2 linked regions of the Lytechinus pictus genome follow. The protein of the gene in region 1 interacts with the protein of each later gene in a biochemical or structural test. Links are inferred from orthologs where the notes say so. Each region holds a gene or a part of one and is shown on either strand. Other genes may lie near its edges. The genes, in order: poly [ADP-ribose] polymerase 2-like and histone PARylation factor 1-like.

Region 1 (9,793 bases):
GTTTGGTGAGCAAAAGTTACGACTCTATCAATCAGCCAACGACCAATGGGATGAGACACATGCAGAGCTCCAAGAATTGATCTCCCATCACTTGTCAGCAAAACCTTTCCTGTGGAGGTGGTGTACATCACTAGCTGAGCATTTGGCCCAAAAGACTTCCCAATGAGACTGGTCAATGATGAACATATAGCCAGAGAAGACTGGATATTAACAGGAATCTGATTTGCCATGATGTTCAATATTCTGTGGATGTAAACAAAATTATGATCATTTTATAAGAAAAAAATCCTTTGGTAAATTAATACAAGAAATTGGTAGGGTAGCTTGTGGGCAAATACTTTAACTTTTACTGTACATACAGGTTTTTTATTGCCTAAAGCCCCTTTCCCAATTGGTGGTGCGACTGCTTACAGCGGTCGTGAATCCGATCGCACAAGCAATTGTGAAAGCCCCTTTAGATGGGTATCACTGGAAAATCTATGGATATTCTGTAAAGTAGGATGACTTTCCACTCTTTGAATGATGAAAATCTGATTTAAATGAAAAATATGTTTGTAAGATCCCAGTCCATTCATTTACACAGAATTTCAGGCAGCACAACTTGGGTCTCATAGTACCAGGAACACAAACAACCCAACCCAAATGGGAAACTCCTTTTCCCATAAGGCTTCTGTTCTTTGGAATCAGCTACCACTTGAAACAAGGATTTCAAATTCTATTTTCAAAGCAACACTGGAGACTTACATGTACTTCTATTTTGTTTTATCAATGTCTATTTGTTTATAAACGGAATAATTTTTTATTGCACTACGGTCATCCATTAAAAAATATCATATTCCTTTACCAGTTCTATCATAGAGCCGAGTTATTTGGACCGATTTCACAGCCTGGGGGAGGGGGATGAATTCCCCCCCCCCCCCCGAGCCGAGATCCTGGCCATACATTGTGCGACTGCCGCAAAAATTTGCACAAGGGTAGTGTGCGATGAAATCTACAAGACTGTATGTTTATTATTTATGAAATATTAGGATTTTTTATATGAATTAATTATGCTATTTATGTGTAAAATAATAAATTTGCTCTAATTACCTAAATACAGCCCCCAAACTGGGAGAAAAAGAGGGAGAAAGAAAGAAACATAGTAGAGAAAGAAGAAATTATTGTAAACCCCTCAAAAAAAATTTGGTAATCTAAATTTGATTGGTAATCCCTCCTCGGTTTTTGTGAATATTAATGTGAAATTGATACCAATAAAAAGATAATTTAATTGTCTTTAAAATGATACCCTACATGATATCGTGCTGTAGAGGGGAGCAACACACGACCGTGTTGTTAAAATAAAACATGATGAGTGCGTGTGAATGTTTTCGATATGGCCGACGTTGACCCTATACGTACCCCGCCGGGCGGTAAGGGCCAGGGGTACGATCGAGTTTGATAAAGTCAAGATGTGTGGATTGTCATGATTGTAGTGAAGTGAGATCGTGTTTTGTGGCCATTTAATAATCGTATTTTGTTGAGATTTTGGAGTAATTTTTGTTGCTGTTCTATGTATTCTGAGGAAAACTATGTTTTCTGTGATTTTCCGTTTGAAATGCCACTTTCCATTTCAAAAGGCCATTTCTGTGAATTCAGTCCGTTTTCCGCGATCACGGAAAATCACTGTCCCTAAAAATGTCTTTATTAGGTCAGTATACTCAAAATTTTTGTTGGTGCCCCCCCAATGCTGTGACCCATGGAACGCCACTGCCTAACAATAAGCAAAAGGAAAGTGGGGATGTGACATCATCAGCCCACCTAATGAATATTCATGATGACGTACATGGAACTAATGGAACTATTTTCACAAAACATTGCTAAACTTTAAAATGCAATAAATTTGTTATTTATTGTCCGATTTTGATGAAATTTTCAGCTTTTTAAGTCTGAGAATTCAAACAATGAAATCAAGATCTAAGCAGAAATAAAGCCATTCTAGTTGTTTTCTTATTCCAGCTTTTGCTTCGAGCCGTTTAGAGTCTTGTGAATTGTGATCGGTGCAAACTTTTAATGTGAAGAGAGATGCCTGTGTGCGTGTGATGCCGCGATGCTTCATCTAATTTTTACGCTTGACAATGTTTCACTTTGAAATTTTATTCATTTCTAAAACATTTTAGTTTTCTAACAATATTTAAAAATATAAATTAAAAAAAAATGTATCGGTAAATTTTGTTAGATGACTGAATTTTAATTTGTTTGCTTGAAGTTTGAAGTTTTTTCTTTCTTTTTTTCCTTCTTTCTTCTATCCTTCCTGCTTGCCTTTTTGTTCCATCTCTCTTTATTTCCTATCTTTCCTAGCTTTCTTTCCTGATCTATTCTCTCTCTGTTCATTTTTCTTCCTTTCCTTCCTTATTTCCTTTCTCTTTCTTTCCTTAAAATTTTCTTTGCTCCCTTCCCTCTTCCTCGGGCTACTTTTTTTTTTTCTTTCTGTCTTACCTTCTTTCTTCTTTCCTTCCTCCATTCTTTTCTTGCTTTCATTCTCTTTGCTTAATTCTTTCCTTCCTTCTTTTTCTTTTCCCTTATTCTTTCTTTCTTTCATTAATAATTCATAATTCTATCCTTCCTGATTTTTCTTTTTCTTTATTTCTTCATCCTTCTATCCTTCCTGAATTCCTTTTGTCCATTCTATCTATCTCTAGCAGGGTGACCAGACGTCCCGTATTTCCCGGGATCGTCCCGTATTTTGCTCCTTTGTCCCGACAAACCCTTCCCGGGACGCCTATTTGTCCCGTATTTCAGAATATTGAACAAAATATAGTTAATACATTTAAAAGTGACAAATTTTCATCAAATAATCAACAGATGACGAAGCAGAGACAACTAAAAATCGATAACTGTAAACTTTTGCAATTTCTGTGGTGATTTTCTTGCTAACCCACAGTGCAAACGAACATGGCCTCCTGCCTGTGTGTGGCAGGTTAACGCGGCTAGGCATGTAGGATCGGAGCAGATTCTCAATGGTGCAAACAATCTCACATGATAAACAGTTTTTCCACCAAAACAATCACAGAATCGGCAGGATTTTTTTAATGATTATATGGATTCTCAGATTACTGATTTGGAGATGTAATCGGAGGAACAAGTTACTGAGTTATAGTTGTTTCAACTTTCGTTTTGAGTCCTGTTGTGATCGGTGCGAACTTGTAATGGGATGCCTGTGTACGATGCCGTGATGTTTCATCTAATTTTTGAAGTTTGACAATGTTTCACTTTGAAATTTTATTCATTTCTAAAACATTTTTTTTTACATATTAAAAACACCAAATATCAGTATTATTTTTGTTAGATTGGATTTTTTTGGTTTGCTTCAAGTTTGTAACTTGTTTACTCTGTCTTTCTTTTCTATCCTTCTTTTTTCATTCTTCTATCCTTCCTGCTTTCCCTTTTTTTTCCATCTATCTTTCTTTCCTGATCCTTTCTCTCTCTCTATCTTTTCATTTTTCTTTCTTTCCTTCTTTTTAAATTTCTTTTATATTTCCTTAAATTTTTCTTTGCTTCTCATTTCCCTTTCTCTCCTTTTTATTTTTGTTCTTTCTCTCCTCCCATTATTTTCTTTTTTTCATTCCCTCCTCCCTTTCCAATCTCATTCCTCCCTCTCTGTCATTCTTTACTTTATTTTTTCCTTCTAATGCTTTTCCATTATTCATTCTTTCCCTTCATCCTAATTCCTTCCTTCCTGTTTTTCTTCTTTCTTTCTTTTAAAGAATGAAGGAAACATTTTTCTTTCCTTCATTCTTTTCTCCTTATTTCTTTCTTTTAGTTTCTCTCCTATTCTTTTTCTTTCACACATTTATTAATCTTCCTTTTTTTTTCTTTCTTTCTATATTCATTTCAAAGAATGACAGAAACCTTTTTTTCTCTCTTTTATTCTTTCTTTCATCAATCTTTTATACTATTACTAGCTTTCTTTTAATTTCATTTTTTTTTCTTTCTTCTCAATTCATCACTTTTCTTTCTCTCCTTCATTCTTTTGTTCACCCTCCCTTCCAATTCTTTTTTTTTCACAAGTAGTAACACTGTGTAGCCTCCTTTGTAGATTTTTTATTTTATTTTAAGACCTGGCTCTGTCGATCCGTTCATGCAGAGTGCTTTGCCAATTGTCCTGTATTTCATTTTGTGAAATCTGGTCACCCTGATCTCTAGTGTATTTCTTATAATTTCCTGGCCTTCCTTTCTGTGTTCATTTATTTTCTTCATTCTTTGCTTCATGTCCCTCGTTCTTTTTTTCTTTCCTACTTTCTTTCTTTTCTTCATATTTTCTTCCATTAAATTGTTCTTTGCTTTCTTCTCCCTTCCTCTCCTTTTCATTCATTTTTCTCCTTCCATTATTTTTTTTTTCATGCTCTCCTCCCTTCATTCTTTCCTCCCTCTTTCATTCTTTTTTTTCCTTCTTCCTTTCCCCTTATTCTTTTTTCCTTCATTGCTATTCCCTTCTTTCCTCCCTGCTTTTCTTCTTTCATTCTTTCAATGAATTTACATTTTTCTTTCCTTCATTCTTACTTTCATCCTTTTTTCTTACTTTTTTTTCCTATGATTTCTTTCATTCTTCTTTTCATTTTGTTACTTTATTTTCTTTACAGTTCATTTTTTCAGCAGAGACCTAGTAATATGTCTGTTCGAAAATGTTTAAAGTTTTTGTTCAACTTATTTCTTTATTTCTGCATCAATTATGTTCATACTTATTTTAAAAAATGGTCCTTATTGATAATCAATCATGTTTAATCATACATGAAAAAACAGCAAGAGCTGGAAAAATCATGTTTACAAGTTGAAGTTGGTGTTGGCACAATTAAATACACAGTAAAAACCATAGTAAAATGCATTAAGAAGGCTATACATTTAAAAGTTAATACAATTTAGATAAAGCAAAATGCAATAGAAAGTCATTTGGAAAAAATACAAGCGAAGTTTCATCAATTTTAGAAATTTAGTACACAAAATGTTAAACATTTATTTTTAGTAGTTTGGTCTTTGGAAATATTATAGTATACAGAACAAAATAGAAGATGATTACAACTATTGAATTAATGTTTTAGTGTAGTCCAAAGACAAAAAAAGAAGGCTTCAAAAATATAAAGTGTCCGGACACCCGACCCCCATCCTATATTGCTAGCCTATATAAAGCTAACTGTTAACCTCGCACTAGTGTGAGTGACCATTACCCGCTCATGCAATCTCTCCGCACACAAATCCAGTGGGGTTATCACAAATCTGTGATGCAATCATTCGATTTGCACATGAGCTAAATCCCCGGGTAAATATCAGAGTTTTTTAGCACTGACCTCACACAACTAGTCAGGAAAGTTGCATTACGGTAGTCACACTATTCTGGCCCAATTCAGGTTTGAAGAAGCAGCATCACCATCATGACGTTGATCACAGTGTCAGTCGTCTAATTTTGATAATTACACAAACGTGTATTGACAGATTTTTTGAAGAAAACAAGTGTGTGTATGACGTCATTTACCGTAACTCAACTCGAGAATCGAGATCGAGCTAGCTAGCTTCTGATTGGTCAAATGTGCGCGCGAGCGATCGATCGAGAGCACATTATTGGAGCTCCGAATCTGGCCGCTAGCGCCTCGGCCTCGACAGCACAATTTATACAATTACAATTGTAAAAGACAAGACAAGGATTAAATATTGCAGGATGGCAAAAAGTACGAAGAAGTCGACAAAACGTGAGAACAACGCAGGTAATTATAATTAACCAGAGTAAGTTAGACACCTAAATCTTGTAGATAAGCCTTGGTAGATTTGACTAGGCGCTCTAACTTATTCTTGCTGTAGACTACCGTACACTACAATCCGAATTATTGTGTCACAGAATTTTGATGAATCCAATTAGATACGTGTGTACAAGATTTACATGCGCCCATAATGGTAATGGCCTACTAGGAAAAAGTTCCATATGCACCCCCCACCAAAAATAACAAAAGATTGTTGAGACTTCCGGGGCCTGTTGCCTGACGAGATGAGCGATACATGGGAACGTCCTAGGACCATTCTTCCTAGATATAGGAAGATTGGCGACAAATCAGCGCTTTCCGTTTCACGAAAGAGTCAGGAAAGTTTTTGCCACACGTCTTCTTAATTAAGACATTATTTTTTATCTATAAACTTCATATGTGTCGATTGAAATATATTGATACATGCTCAGAACCTGCATATAACCATAATTAAACTGCATGAACTATGTCTTTACGACTTGTCCTGTCTACTCTGAACCCTGGATGATTATTTATTATGGATACTATTGCCTTCATAATCATAGGGCTGATCTCCGAAAGCAGCGGAGGGAGAAAACCAGGAAGGAAGATAGTCAGTGTCTTAGTGATGATAGTTCAAACAATAGTATGGACGAAACAAAGTCTTATTCTAAAAAGAAGTCGTCAACTAATAAACTACATTGCCTCTGTATAAATTTTCAAAGTATCAAGAATAAAAATAGGGTGTCTGAAGCCACACTGAAAAGTGTCGGCATAAAACAGCCTGATTTAGGGGAAAATATGGCACATATTTTGGGGGAAGTTCAGGCTACTAGAAAAATGTGATCTGAATTGATTATTAACTTTTGTTTGGCATGTATGGAAAGAGAAAATTCAGGGGCTTCTTTTGACAGTAAGGACAAGTTTATATGATCATTTTACATAAGGATTTAGAGATAAATTGCAAACCCTTATTTTTGTGTGTGTTGAGATTGCCATTTCTCCATGCATTTTCTATGGGAAAATGAAATTTCTGTTTTGCACAATTTTTTTCACTTTGTCGCAATTTTTCATTGTGATCTGGTTTCCAAATCTTTATAAAAATCATACCATCAGATAGAGCATAAAAAATCCTATTGGACTCTTTATGGACAAGTTTTTGGCATTAATAATAAATTTATAACAGCTCTCGGAAGCTAAAAATTTGGATTTGTGTGTGTCCATTTCTTAACTACACAGTCTATGGCAGAGAAATGCTGAAAATTGACCTAATTTCTTTCTTCTTTTTTGCAGCCAATAATTGGATTTTTTTCAAAAATGTTACATTTCTGTCAGTCTGAAGGTCATTTGTCTTCAAAATCACAAAGAAAATGTGATATTTTCTTGAAATAAGAAAAATAATTTTCTAATAAAAAAGCAGAATGGGAAACACTGATACATATGTACCAGCCAGATGTTGTGTTCGGTATGAAAAAATTGATGGTGGGCCCCAAGTCTGGGCACCTAACAATTTGAGTTAAGATTTAACATGAATTTCTTCTTATTTCACAAAATCTTTCAGTTAATAATGTTCCTTATATTATTTTGAGTAAGTGTACCAAATTTCTCATTGAAAAATGAAAGAAAATATAGGATTTTCTTGAAAAAACCTCGGGCAGTCTTTTTCAGATTGAAAAATAAAATGGTCCCCCATGTCTGCGCACTCATTCACTTTGCACACGATTCAGGGATTTTGATGAGAAAGGCTGCATTTTGAGGCCGTCACATGAAATGCCCTAAATTCATTATTTTTTCACCATTTTGAGTCAGATTTTTTATGGATACCCGTCTATGTATTACATGTATAAAGTTCATGCTCGTTATACGTATCTTCTTTTACTAGAATCGCGCAGATACGCGTGTGCGCAGACAAGGGGGACTGCGCAGACTTGGGGGAACTTGCCATACTGAAACATGGCTGAGTCCCTCAGTGATAGATGCGGAATTCATGCCTAATGGTTATACAGTGCATAGAAAGGACAGAGAAAGCTATGCCCATGGTGGCGTTTTTCTCATGCATAAAACCAATTTGCCAATTGTGAGAATACCTGACTACAGAAATTATATGGTGTCAACTTAACCTAATACGTAGAAGACCAATTTTATTGGCTACGGTCTATAAACCTAAACACAATGATATGACTACTGTGTATTCTCTTAAAGAATCACTTGACTTGATAAATGCTCATGTTAAGCCTTATGATGTCATCATCCAAGGAGATTTTAATCAAAGTAAATTGACTGGAAAGAGGCAATTGTATTGCAAACAGGTTCAGCCTCAAAAGAAACTGCTGAAGCATTATTAGATGTTACAATTAGTAGGGACAGTGATTTTCCGCGATCGCGGAAAACGGACGGAATTCACGGAAAGGGTGTTTTGAAACGGAAAGTGTCATTTCAAACGGAAAATCACGGAAAACGTATTTTCCCTCAAAATACACAGAATAGCAACAGAAATTACTCCAAAATCACAACAAAATGATAATATTAAATGGCCACAAAACCCCAGAAAACACGATCTCACTTCGCTACTTTCATGACAATTCACACATCGTGACTGCACTCGACATCAGCACACTTGATTGTACCCCGCACCGTACCCGTACCCTGCCGCCGGCGCCGGGTTGGGCTTCACATGCACACACATATCGTTCACTGCACGGTCGTGTGTTGCTGCCCTCTACGTTTGAAGATGTAACAGCACGATATCGTGGTTTAAATCCAAGATGGCGGATTGGCAAAAGCCGTTGACTGATGATAACGATGTCCAAAAAACCCCAAAATTATCGATGAAATATCATTTCACCGTGAAATAATGCTAATAATGTGAAAGGTGAGGATGTATGCATGCTAAATGGGGTTGGAAAAATATTTTATGCACCCACATAGATCCGATTAGAACGGATTCTATTGCGTTGTTGGTACAGTAGCAGATACAAATTTTGACCAGTGCGAGTGTACGGTATTCAATGTGTAAACGGAATTGTCACTTTTCCGTGTGTACAAAGTCTATGGGGGAAACGGAATTTCCGTTTTCTGACATGCTGAAACGGAATTTGAGATTTTCTGAAACGGAAAAGGCAACTTTTTGAAACGGAAAATCACTGTCCCTAAATTAGCAATGGCTTAGAACAGTTAGTAAATAGCCCAACAAGGGAAAACAATATATTAGACCTTTTCTTTTCAAATAACATTGCTGTCGTCCAAGACGTAAATGTCATCGCAGGGCTTAGTGATCATGATATAGTAGAATCAAGTATCAATGTTAAAGTAAGAAGGAATTGTAAACCTAAACGAGCAATTTTCCAAAGACAGAAAGCTGATGAGGAAAGAATTAAAGAAAGAATAAACCAGTTTTGTAAGAAGTACAGGGAAAGTTTTATGAACTGCTCAACGCAGGATAAATGGGATAATTTGGAAAAAGAGCTGAAATCCATAATGAAGGACCATGTACAAGTAAAGTTGGCTTCTAATAGACGAAATTTACCATGGTTCACAAGAACACACAGGAGAATGTGTAGGAAAAAACAAAGATTGTATAATAAAGCAAAGAGATCTGGTTTGCCCAAAGATTGGGATATCTTCAAAAAGTTTTGCAATGTAATTAGAAAAGAATTAAATAAATCTAAATCAGAGTATATAACAGACAATTTACTAATGTCATTAAAAGAAAACCCAAAGGTTTTTTGGTCTATATTTGCAAAATTAAAGAAAGAAAGTACTGGTATTGATGACTTTCTAATCAATAATAAAATAATAAGTGCTGATAAAGAGAAAGCTGTGCTTCTTAGCAAGGTATTTGTTAGCAACTTCACAAAAGAAGATGTAACAAATGTACCACTAATCTCTACTCAACTACCGGAAATACAAAAACTTGTTATTAGTGAATCTGGAGTACTTAAACAACTACAGAACATTAATCCTAACAAGGCATCTGGACCAGATGACCTTCCTCCGTGGCTCTTTAAAATGGTAGCAAATGAAATAACCCCAATTTTAACTGATAT
Region 2 (9,714 bases), on another chromosome or scaffold:
TTAAAAACAACAAGGGAAGAGAAGTTAAAAGGTTTGGCAAAGTGAGCATCTGACTGCAGATAATCACTCAATATACGAATAATAAACCTGTTTACTAAATATTGCTTGCCAACTCCCAAAACTATAATACATGTTACAACTTACAAGTGATATTCATGCTTAAAATACTTAATTAGAAAAAAGAAGAAAATAGTTACATATATACAGTGATTACTAAGTAAACCTTTTAATTCATTTCAATAGAACAAATTAGAAGTGAAAACATATCAAAACCACTAACAATTCCCTGAAATCTCAAGCTACTAAATAATTAACAATAACATTTCGAGTTTTCATTAAAACAACTTAACTGCAGATTTAATGTCAATTAATCATCAGAAGTCCATCTGAATACTGTTCACAACTTTATAAGTTATGTTATTTTTCTGAATCAGATGATGATGATGATGGTGGTGGTGGTTTTCATATTTCATTTAATATCTTGCTCCATATAGCTACATTTCTAAATTTTTCTATCAATCTTCTTACATTAATACAAACTTTCATTCTTTGTGGACTCTAAATTGAATTAATTATAAGGTAATATTTGAATTAGAGATGCTCGGCAGGTCGCGCAGCCGAGCACATGTATCCCCCGAACCCACCGCTTCATCCGTATTTGCGATATATAGAGCTCACACAGAAATTTGACAAATAAATACAATGGTCATGGCGACAATGACCCTGCCCATATTCACTGTGAATCTCAATTTTTCTAATCATGCCATTGATGTCAATTGTTCTACAAATATTTTTGGAGTACTTGCAAAGTAAGCTTCTCAGAAAGACAGGTGACAGAGTAAAGTAATTATTATAGTTTTTTAATCTAATTTTTTAATGCAATGATGTAAAGTGGTTTTACTTGTATTGCACATTGAATCATTCTGATTTACTTTCTATAATCAGAAATTTATTTCACAATCAAAAGAAATGGAATGTAATTGCAATTAAAATCAACATTTGTTATGATTTTCATTTAATGAATTCAAAGCATTGATCAACTCAGAAGATTTCCTTACTTTAATATCCTTCTTTCTCCTTCTTTACAATCATATCATCCCTACCCCCCAACTTCCATCTTCTTTTCTTCTTACAAATAATTATACTTTTCTTATTTCTTTTTAATAACCCGATTCATTTCTTCTTCTCAATATTTCTCCTTTAAATTTTGTTTTCTTTCTCTTCAACTGTCTTTTTTCCCCTTCCTTTCCTTCCCCAGCCTGCTTTAGAACTTACAATGATACAATTTATATATTCTAGTCACCAAATTACAACACAGTCAATTATTTTTTATATCTTGACCTGAAAAAATATTGAAAAAGTCAGAGGGATACCATGATCATGAATACACATCTACAGACATCTATTATGAGCATGGTGACAGTAATGGGCCAAATCGTGGTTTCAGGAACCACTTGTCGATTTATATACGCATGCGCGCCTGTGAATGGAGGTGAAAATAGGGAACCGTGCGTGTGAATGAATAAAGCGCTACTGTACAAAGTGAACGGTGGTTCCCAATTTCACGATAATGACCAGTTATGACAATCATGGAAGTTGTCTTATGGAAATTGTCCCAAGCAGGGCCTCGGATCGTACTTGACAAGACCCCCCCCCCCAAAAGAAGGCCTTGAACATGTTGAAGTTTACTAAAGGTAAAGGGGGTAGGCCTACTATACTATAGTATAATGTTGTAAATCGGATCAAAAATCAGATCGAAAATCGGATCGGCAGTTAAGCTTCTAAAATCGAAATCGAATCGAAAATCGAATCGGCGATGTTTAAAAACAAAGGAATACATCAAAATGTGTTTCGCGGTCGCGCGCATCTTCCTGACAAAGTCACAAAGACGAATGCATTGGAATGGAAGTCGCCAACATGCGCGATCGTTTGGAACATGTTTTAAAGCCAGGGGTTTTGAGGTGTTATTGCTTTAAAATAAACCGAGTGATTGTTATTAGAAAGATAAACGAAAGACGCATCTTCCGAGCAAAGGCGCAAAGGAAAATAAAATGAAAATATTTCTCATAGATCACAGGTTAATGAACGATCGGCGGGACATCTTTTAGAAGTATTTTTAGGTGCTAGCGATTTAGAATTATTGGAATGATCTCTTACGACGCATCATCTTAAAGTCGCAAGTGCAATTAAAATGAAGTAAAAGACGCAAGCACGCACGATGATTTGAAATATGTTATTAAAATGTTTTGGGTAGCTAGCGTTTTCAAATCAATTTGAAGTTCACGGCGGGGTCCGCTATCACCACGAGGTTGAAGAGAAGATGTCTATCATCATAAAGGGGGTAAGAGAGTAGCGCAGTGAGCTCCGTCGGTAATACGACCTTTCAAAGTTCACGGCGGCATCCGCTATCACCACGAGGTTGAAAATAAAATGTATATCATCATAAACGATGTAAGAGAGTAACTCAATAAGCTCCGTCAATAGTACAGTCTTTAAAAGTTTATGGCGGGGTCCGCTATCACCACGAGGTTGAAGAGAATATTTATATCATTATAAAGGGGGTAAGAGAGTAGCGCAGTGAGCTCCGTCGGTAATACGACCTTTCAAAGTTCACGGCGGCTTCCGCTATCACCACGAGGTTGAAAATAAAATGAATATCATCATAAACGATGTAAGAGAGCAACGCAATAAGCTCCGTCAATAGTACAGTCTTTAAAAGTTTATGGCGGGGTCCGCTATCACCACGAGGTTGAAGAGAATATCTATATCATTATAAAGGGGGTAAGAGAGTAGCGCAGTGAGCTCCGTCGGTAATACGACCTTTCAAAGTTCACGGTGGCTTCCGCTATCACCACGAGGTTGAAAATAAAATGAATATCATCATAAACGATGTAAGAGAGCAACGCAATAAGCTCCGTCAATAGTACAGTCTTTAAAAGTTTATGGCGGGGTCCGCTATCACCACGAGGTTGAAGAGAAGATTTATATCATTATAAAGGGGGTAAGAGAGTAGCGCAGTGAGCTCCGTCGGTAATACGACCTTTCAAAGTTCACGGCGGCTTCCGCTATCACCACGAGGTTGAAAATAAAATGAATATCATCATAAACGATGTAAGAGAGTAACACAATGAGCTCCGTCGGTAATACGACCTTTCAAAGTTCACGGCAGCATCCGCTATCACCACGAGGTTGAAAATAAAATGTATATCATCATAAACGATGTAAGAGAGTAACTCAATAAGCTCCGTCAATAGTACAGTCTTTAAAAGTTTATGGCGGGGTCCGCTATCACCACGAGGTTGAAGAGAATATTTATATCATTATAAAGGGGGTATGAGAGTAGCGCAGTGAGCTCCGTCGGTAATACGACCTTTCAAAGTTCACGGCGGCATCCGCTATCACCACGAGGTTGAAAATAAAATGTATATAATCATAAACGATGTAAGAGAGTAACGCAGTGAGCTCCGTCGGTAATACGACCTTTCAAAGTTCACGGCGGCATCCGCTATCACCATGAGTTGGAAGAGAAGATATCTATCCTCTTAAACATCGCCATAGATAATACCGCGTCTTTCTCCCTGAATAATGCGACCTCTAAATAGCTAGCACCTCAAAAACAATCTTGAAATATGTTCTGAGCGATCACGCACTGTAACCAGATCTACGCCGATTTTTTATTTTCGATTTTTTTCCTTCAAGGGGCATGATCGAAGATCGGCAAGTGATTGCCGATTGTGGTGAAATCGAATGGAATCGGTTGCCGATTGCAAAATCGGTTACAAGCTTACTATAGTAATACCATGGCATGGCATTATTGGTAGGGTGTCTGAAGCCACACTGAAAAGTGTCAGCATAAAACAGGCTAATTTAGGGGAAAATATGGCATATTTTTTCGGGGAAGTTCAGGCTACTAGAAAAATGTGATCTGAATTGATTATTAACTTGTGTTTGGCATGTATGGAAAGAGAAAATTCAGGGGCTTCTTTTGACAGTAAGGACAAGTTTATATGATCATTTTAAATAAGGATTTAGAGATAAATTGCAAACCCTTATTTTTGTGTGTGTTGAGATTGCCATTTCTCCATGCGTTTTCTATGGGAAAATGAAATTTCTGTTTTGCACAATTTTTTTCATTTTGTCGCAATTTTTCATTGTGATCTGGTTTCCAAATCTTTATAAAAATCATACCATCAGATAGAGCATAAAAAATCCTATTGGACTCTTTATGGACAAGTTTTTGGCATTAATAATAAATTTATAACAGCTCTCGGAAGCTAAAAATTTGGATTTGTGTGTGTCCATTTCTTAACTACACAGTCTATGGCAGAGAAATGCTGAAAATTTACCTAATTTCATTCTTCTTTTTTGCAGCCAATAATTGGATTTTTTTCAAAAATTTTACATTTCTGTCAGTCTGAAGGTCATTTCTCTTCAAATTCACAAAGAAAACGTGATATTTTCTTGAAATAAGAAAAATAATTTTTTTCTCCAGACACCCTATTATTGGCTAAGTAAAACACTCTCTGATTCTGAAATTCTTCTCTTTTTTCTCTGAGAGTAAGTCTCTTTTCTTCTTTCTCTCTCTTTGACATTGTCATTTGTTGCAATTTTGACTTTTGTGATCACCCCCCCCCCCCCCCATCCGCGCCTGGTCAACCCCTCCTCTCTCACTCAGCATTATTCACACTCGGCTCTCTGCATGCAATGCCAGGCCACGGTATAATGCCAATTAATTAAGTTCACATCGCATCGCGATGCAATTCGGCAATGCAATGCCAATGCCATGGCCGATATGCACGTTAAAAAAATCAGAACAAGCAGTAGTCCTACTTTCATTACTATCACAATCCTAAATCTACTAACGTGTAAAATTCACATGAAACCAATTAAAATACGAACCATGTTGCGTGACTATACAAGAATTTGATGAAGATTTACTCCTTTTTTCCGGATCCTCGATAAACTGTTGTCAGAAACCAAGCAACTCTGACGTCATTCGATCTGGGATTTGATCAGGTGACCATAAAGATCTTGCGACCTTTTCCAAGACTTTGTGATATGTTTTTGCACGTCCTTTGGTAGTATTCTTCATTTGTATTTATATATTTTTAACAAAAAGACATTTCGATTGTAATATTATAGTATTCGAAATATCCAGTAATTATTTTTTTGTGGTTGAAATCAATAAATAATGAACAGTGTAAAATTAGATTACTACGTAATCCTTCAAACGTTCCTATAGTATGAATATTGCGCGCGCCGCACACTTGTAAACAACGTGAAATCAACCAAATGCAATGCAAATGCAAAATGTTAGAAGGAAATTAGACTCAATTGTCTTTAGCCTCTGATACTATCTAGATTTATCTAGGTTCTATGTAGACCTAAAACGAAATCGAAGACGAGTTTACAGCTTATCTTTAGAACATGGCGTCGAATCATGACTGCAAATATGGGACAAAATGCTACAGGAAGAGTGAGGAACATCTCAAGAAATTTAATCATCCAGGAAGGAAAACAAATGCAAATGACACGAATGAAGATGATGAATCGGTAAGAAAGATAACATTTGATTTCGATTAAGATTAAAAATTAAGATGAACATCAATAAGTTACATATTGGTAAGAGACTAAGAGTTCCATATGCACCCCCCACTAAAAATTGAAAATAAAAACATGGAGAAGGTTCAGAATAATATATCTAGCCCTGGCCTAATATCGAACATATATGATGGGGAAGTGGAAATACATATATGGCTTTATTCCGTCAAATATTCATCATTGAATATTTATATATTTTTTTAAATTGGTTTCAGGTTTGCTTAAAATGTCAGGACAGGTCTGCACAGTGTGGATAGTCTGATGATGGTGTACCTCGGGCGAAGTTTGTGCAAGCTCCACTTCACTACCGCCACACTACGCTCCACCTACCCGAACTTCGGGACGGTGAACTCAATCGGATATTCCAAGTGACAAAGGTGGGATCAAAAACTGGTTTATTGTAAAAATTAAAGAAAAAAAATATAACGAGAAAGAAAAAGAGCTTAATTTCTTACTCTTCACCCTTATTTCACTCCGTGTCCATCCTCCGGTTATCCTCAAAATTGGTGATTCTGGGCCATAATCAAATTCCTCACATGTATTATTCACGGCCGATTTCAAAACATTGTATGCGCGTATCGAGTGGACCTTCCTAATAGCAACACTGATGTGTGTTTCTGGCTTTTCTGCCCTCTACGTTCGTTGCATGCAATGTTTTGAAATCGGCCGTGAATAATACGTGTGAGGAATTTGATACTGGCCCAAAATCACAAATTTTGAGGATAACCGGAGGATGGACACGGAGTGAAATAAGGGTAAAGAGTAAGAAATTAAGCTATTTTTCTTTCTATTTTTTTTTTTTTTTCTTTAATTTTTACAATAAACCAGTTTTTGATCCCACCTTCGTCACTCGGAATATCCGATCGAGTTCACCGTCCCAAAGTTCGGGTAGGTGGAGCGTAGTGTAGCGGTAGTGAAGTGGAGTGGAGCCTGCACGAACTTCGCCCGAGGTAATGATGGTGTAGTGATGTCGAGTTTATAAAATTTGCCTTTGAGCTAATTTTCTTACGTCACCAGGTGTACGTCACTATGCCTATGATGCTAATTCACTGTCCAAATTCTTGTCATTTGCAATTTTGCTTGCTCTATTGTGAATCAAATGATAAATCATGACAAATCTTGTATTCTTTTCAATTTTAATGTTACAGGATCAGGATTTGGCAAGTCAACCCTCCAAACGTCAAAAGTTGACAGGTTCTGAAAAGCAGGATCAGGATCAAAATTCTAGCGAAACTGAAGTACAAGATCTCGAAACTGAAGAAATTCAAGAAGATTTACAAGAAACATGTCCTCTTGAAAATGAAGGTAACTGCATCACTATAGGATGGGGGCAAGGATCCTGGATAGGCAGGCCAGGAGGCTCCTATAGACTAGAGAGTAAAAATCATTCACTAACGATAGTTTACTCTTACGTTTATTAAGTGAATGATTTTTACTCTCTATGAGCCTCCTGGCTAGGTGGGGAAGGGGCTGCAGGGCGCAGGTATTTCTCCAAGAGGTATGTTTTGAAACAAATATGAAATGAATTTAGAATTAATTAGAAGAATCTTCATGAAGATTAGCTGTAAAATAGACAAGGGGATAGGTATCACATATATCACTTTCAGGTAGCTACTCATGAAAAAGTTTAATATTGGCCTTGTATTCAATTACAGTCTCATAATGCATGCTTATGATTTCTTGAGAATCAAGTTACATTTTATTGCAAATTGTTTTGCAATTAAGACCCTGATAAACAAAGAAACAGCATCAGAGGTTGTATCCCTTGTTTTTCTTTCTTTACTGGGCTGGAACTTCTAAGATCCAACAGATCTTTAATGCCAGTCCACACTCAAAGCCTGTTTCGTACACTATTTACTGTATTATCATTTTTTGTTACTTTGTTTTGTTCTTGTCATGTATTTCTTATTTACCTGTATATATGTTATTTTTATCGAGTGAAATAAATGAATTGAATTGAATTGAATTAATTTCATCAAATGATAATGAGATCTACTACATGTACATGTATATTTGTCTTATTAAGAAAATGGACAAGAAGTTGGTCATTCATAAACTAGGAGGGGTGCAGAATTAAACCAATTGTTTATTTCTTATTCAGTATGGTATATAGCTCCATTAAACAACTTATATTTTTTTTAATGAATGATATTAAGTGTCATTATAGGTTTGATTGGTGTGCATTTAGATACAAGATGTGTAAGATGTCTGAACTGATTGATATTTTTTGTCATTTCACATTCCCTGTAGAGTATTATTAAGCAATCAACATACAAAAAAGAGAGATAAATTGCATGTAGGCCTAGAAAAAAGAATATTGTAATATCACTTTTTTTTAATTTGATGCAACTTTCATTCATTTCTTAGATGCTGATGAAATACCTAGTACTCCTCCAAATATTGACATCAAAGAGGAACTGAGGTTAAAGTTCAAAGTTGAGATGCCACCAGATTTCTTTGATTTCTGGGATTACTGTAAGAGCATCAATAATGCTAAACCTTCTGGTAAGTTGATCATAAAAATCATATCTTATATTTGAATATGAACAAACTCTACACAACATCAAAAGTAAGTTTCCCCCAAAAGAACCCCATCAAATCTTCCAGTATAACTAATTTGAAATTAAGCCTGGGATATATAGCCAGGGTTGTTAGAGAGCAGATTCTCAAAAAGTGAGTGACATCAGTGAGTTAATGGCTGTGAGAGCACAACATGAACACAAATTATGGGGGTTTTTATATTGGAGGATTTGATGGGTTCTTTAGGGGTTAGGGGTGACTTTCTTTTGATGTTGTGTTTATTTCTTATTATTATTATCAAGTCAGGGGAATTTTACTTCTCAAATTTGATCAGCAGTGAGGGAAATATTTCAACAATATTCTGTACCGGCCGATGTGATAACCTGCTTTTATAATGACCACCTGTATATATTTGAAAATTGTTCACTTAAACTTCAAGAGTTCATGTACCCTCACTGGCCTTATCTATTGTCACAATACACAAATCATTGATTTTTTTGGTAAATTGATTTTAGTCGTTTTTTTCTGAATCATTCAAGTGTGGCATTAATTTTGTAATAAAAGGAATTATTCTTAACATGCTAATGAAATGTACCAGATGAAAAGATCTCAAGTCATGTACCATAAAGTCAGTAAAAACTATTTTCTTCACTTATACCATAATTGTGTAATTATTTGTTAAATGGCAATAGAGATGATACACAAGAAAGTCTCATACTTATCTTTGAAGATAAACAAACAAACCATTTTTTCTTTCATTTTTCTGATATCCAATCACTAAATTTGGAAAATTGCTGCTCGAAAGGCCCTTCAAACAATAAAACATTGTGAAGAAAGAGCACTGGATATTTAAAAAGAAATCACATGTAAAGTTTAACAAAGAATCATTGGCTTAAAAGAGTTCTGATCGCCACTAAAATTGATTTGAATATTAGATGATGTATGATTGAACCTTTACCAAAGTTTTAGTCAGGTTTAAATGTATAAAACAACTAATTATATGACTGTGCTATGCCGAATGTAATTGATTCCTGCCCCTGTTTGGTGATCTTTTGAATTTAGTCTTCAGTTATAACCACTCATAAAAATTAGTAATTATATATATTTTTGTGATGTTTGCCTCAGCCTGACCATCTAAAAACATTTAAAAATTTTATCTTACAGAGGCATTGAAGGAAGACGTTGGCTTGGTTCTTGGTGGTCCGTATGATGTCATGGCTGGCAGGCTGAAATGTGTCAAAGGTCAAAGACCCAATTATTTATTACACCATAGATTCTTCTATGATCCACCCGAGTTTCAGACAGTCTTGGTCGGTGATGAGAAGAAACAACACCACATTGGATACTATAGGTAATTTAGTCATTATCGGGGAGGGGGGGCACTTGTATTTGGAAAGGGTATAATTGTGCGGCCCCAAACCATAGTACCATACCATTAAGAACTACCGGTATGTGTAAAGTTGTTATGAAATGAGGGGCTTAAGAACTAAATGGCCCTCTGCAAATGGGGGTGCTTGGGAACTGCAATGGGATTTAATGTTAGGTTTTGTCCCGGAGGGGCCACTTCCATTGGCGAGTGGATACCATGCGCGA

Evidence for each region.
Region 2: the proteins of poly [ADP-ribose] polymerase 2-like (region 1) and histone PARylation factor 1-like form a complex in vitro, tested with the Homo sapiens proteins (2 studies listed by BioGRID). The link is inferred for Lytechinus pictus from reciprocal best matches to the Homo sapiens genes PARP2 and HPF1.

Annotation. Positions count from the first base shown.
Region 1 is NC_087246.1:38,749,068-38,758,860, reverse strand, and holds the start of poly [ADP-ribose] polymerase 2-like, read left to right. Parts: upstream 1-5,562; 5' UTR 5,563-5,689; coding exon 5,690-5,735; intron 5,736-9,793. Other genes in the region: Bardet-Biedl syndrome 10 protein homolog, read right to left, coding at 1-230. UniProt on the Homo sapiens protein: Poly-ADP-ribosyltransferase that mediates poly-ADP-ribosylation of proteins and plays a key role in DNA repair.
Region 2 is NC_087249.1:40,173,793-40,183,506, reverse strand, and holds the start of histone PARylation factor 1-like, read left to right. Parts: upstream 1-4,994; 5' UTR 4,995-5,427; coding exon 5,428-5,553; intron 5,554-6,749; coding exon 6,750-6,906; intron 6,907-7,968; coding exon 7,969-8,106; intron 8,107-9,285; coding exon 9,286-9,472; intron 9,473-9,714. Other genes in the region: kinesin-2b-like, read right to left, coding at 4,900-4,902. UniProt on the Homo sapiens protein: Cofactor for serine ADP-ribosylation that confers serine specificity on PARP1 and PARP2 and plays a key role in DNA damage response.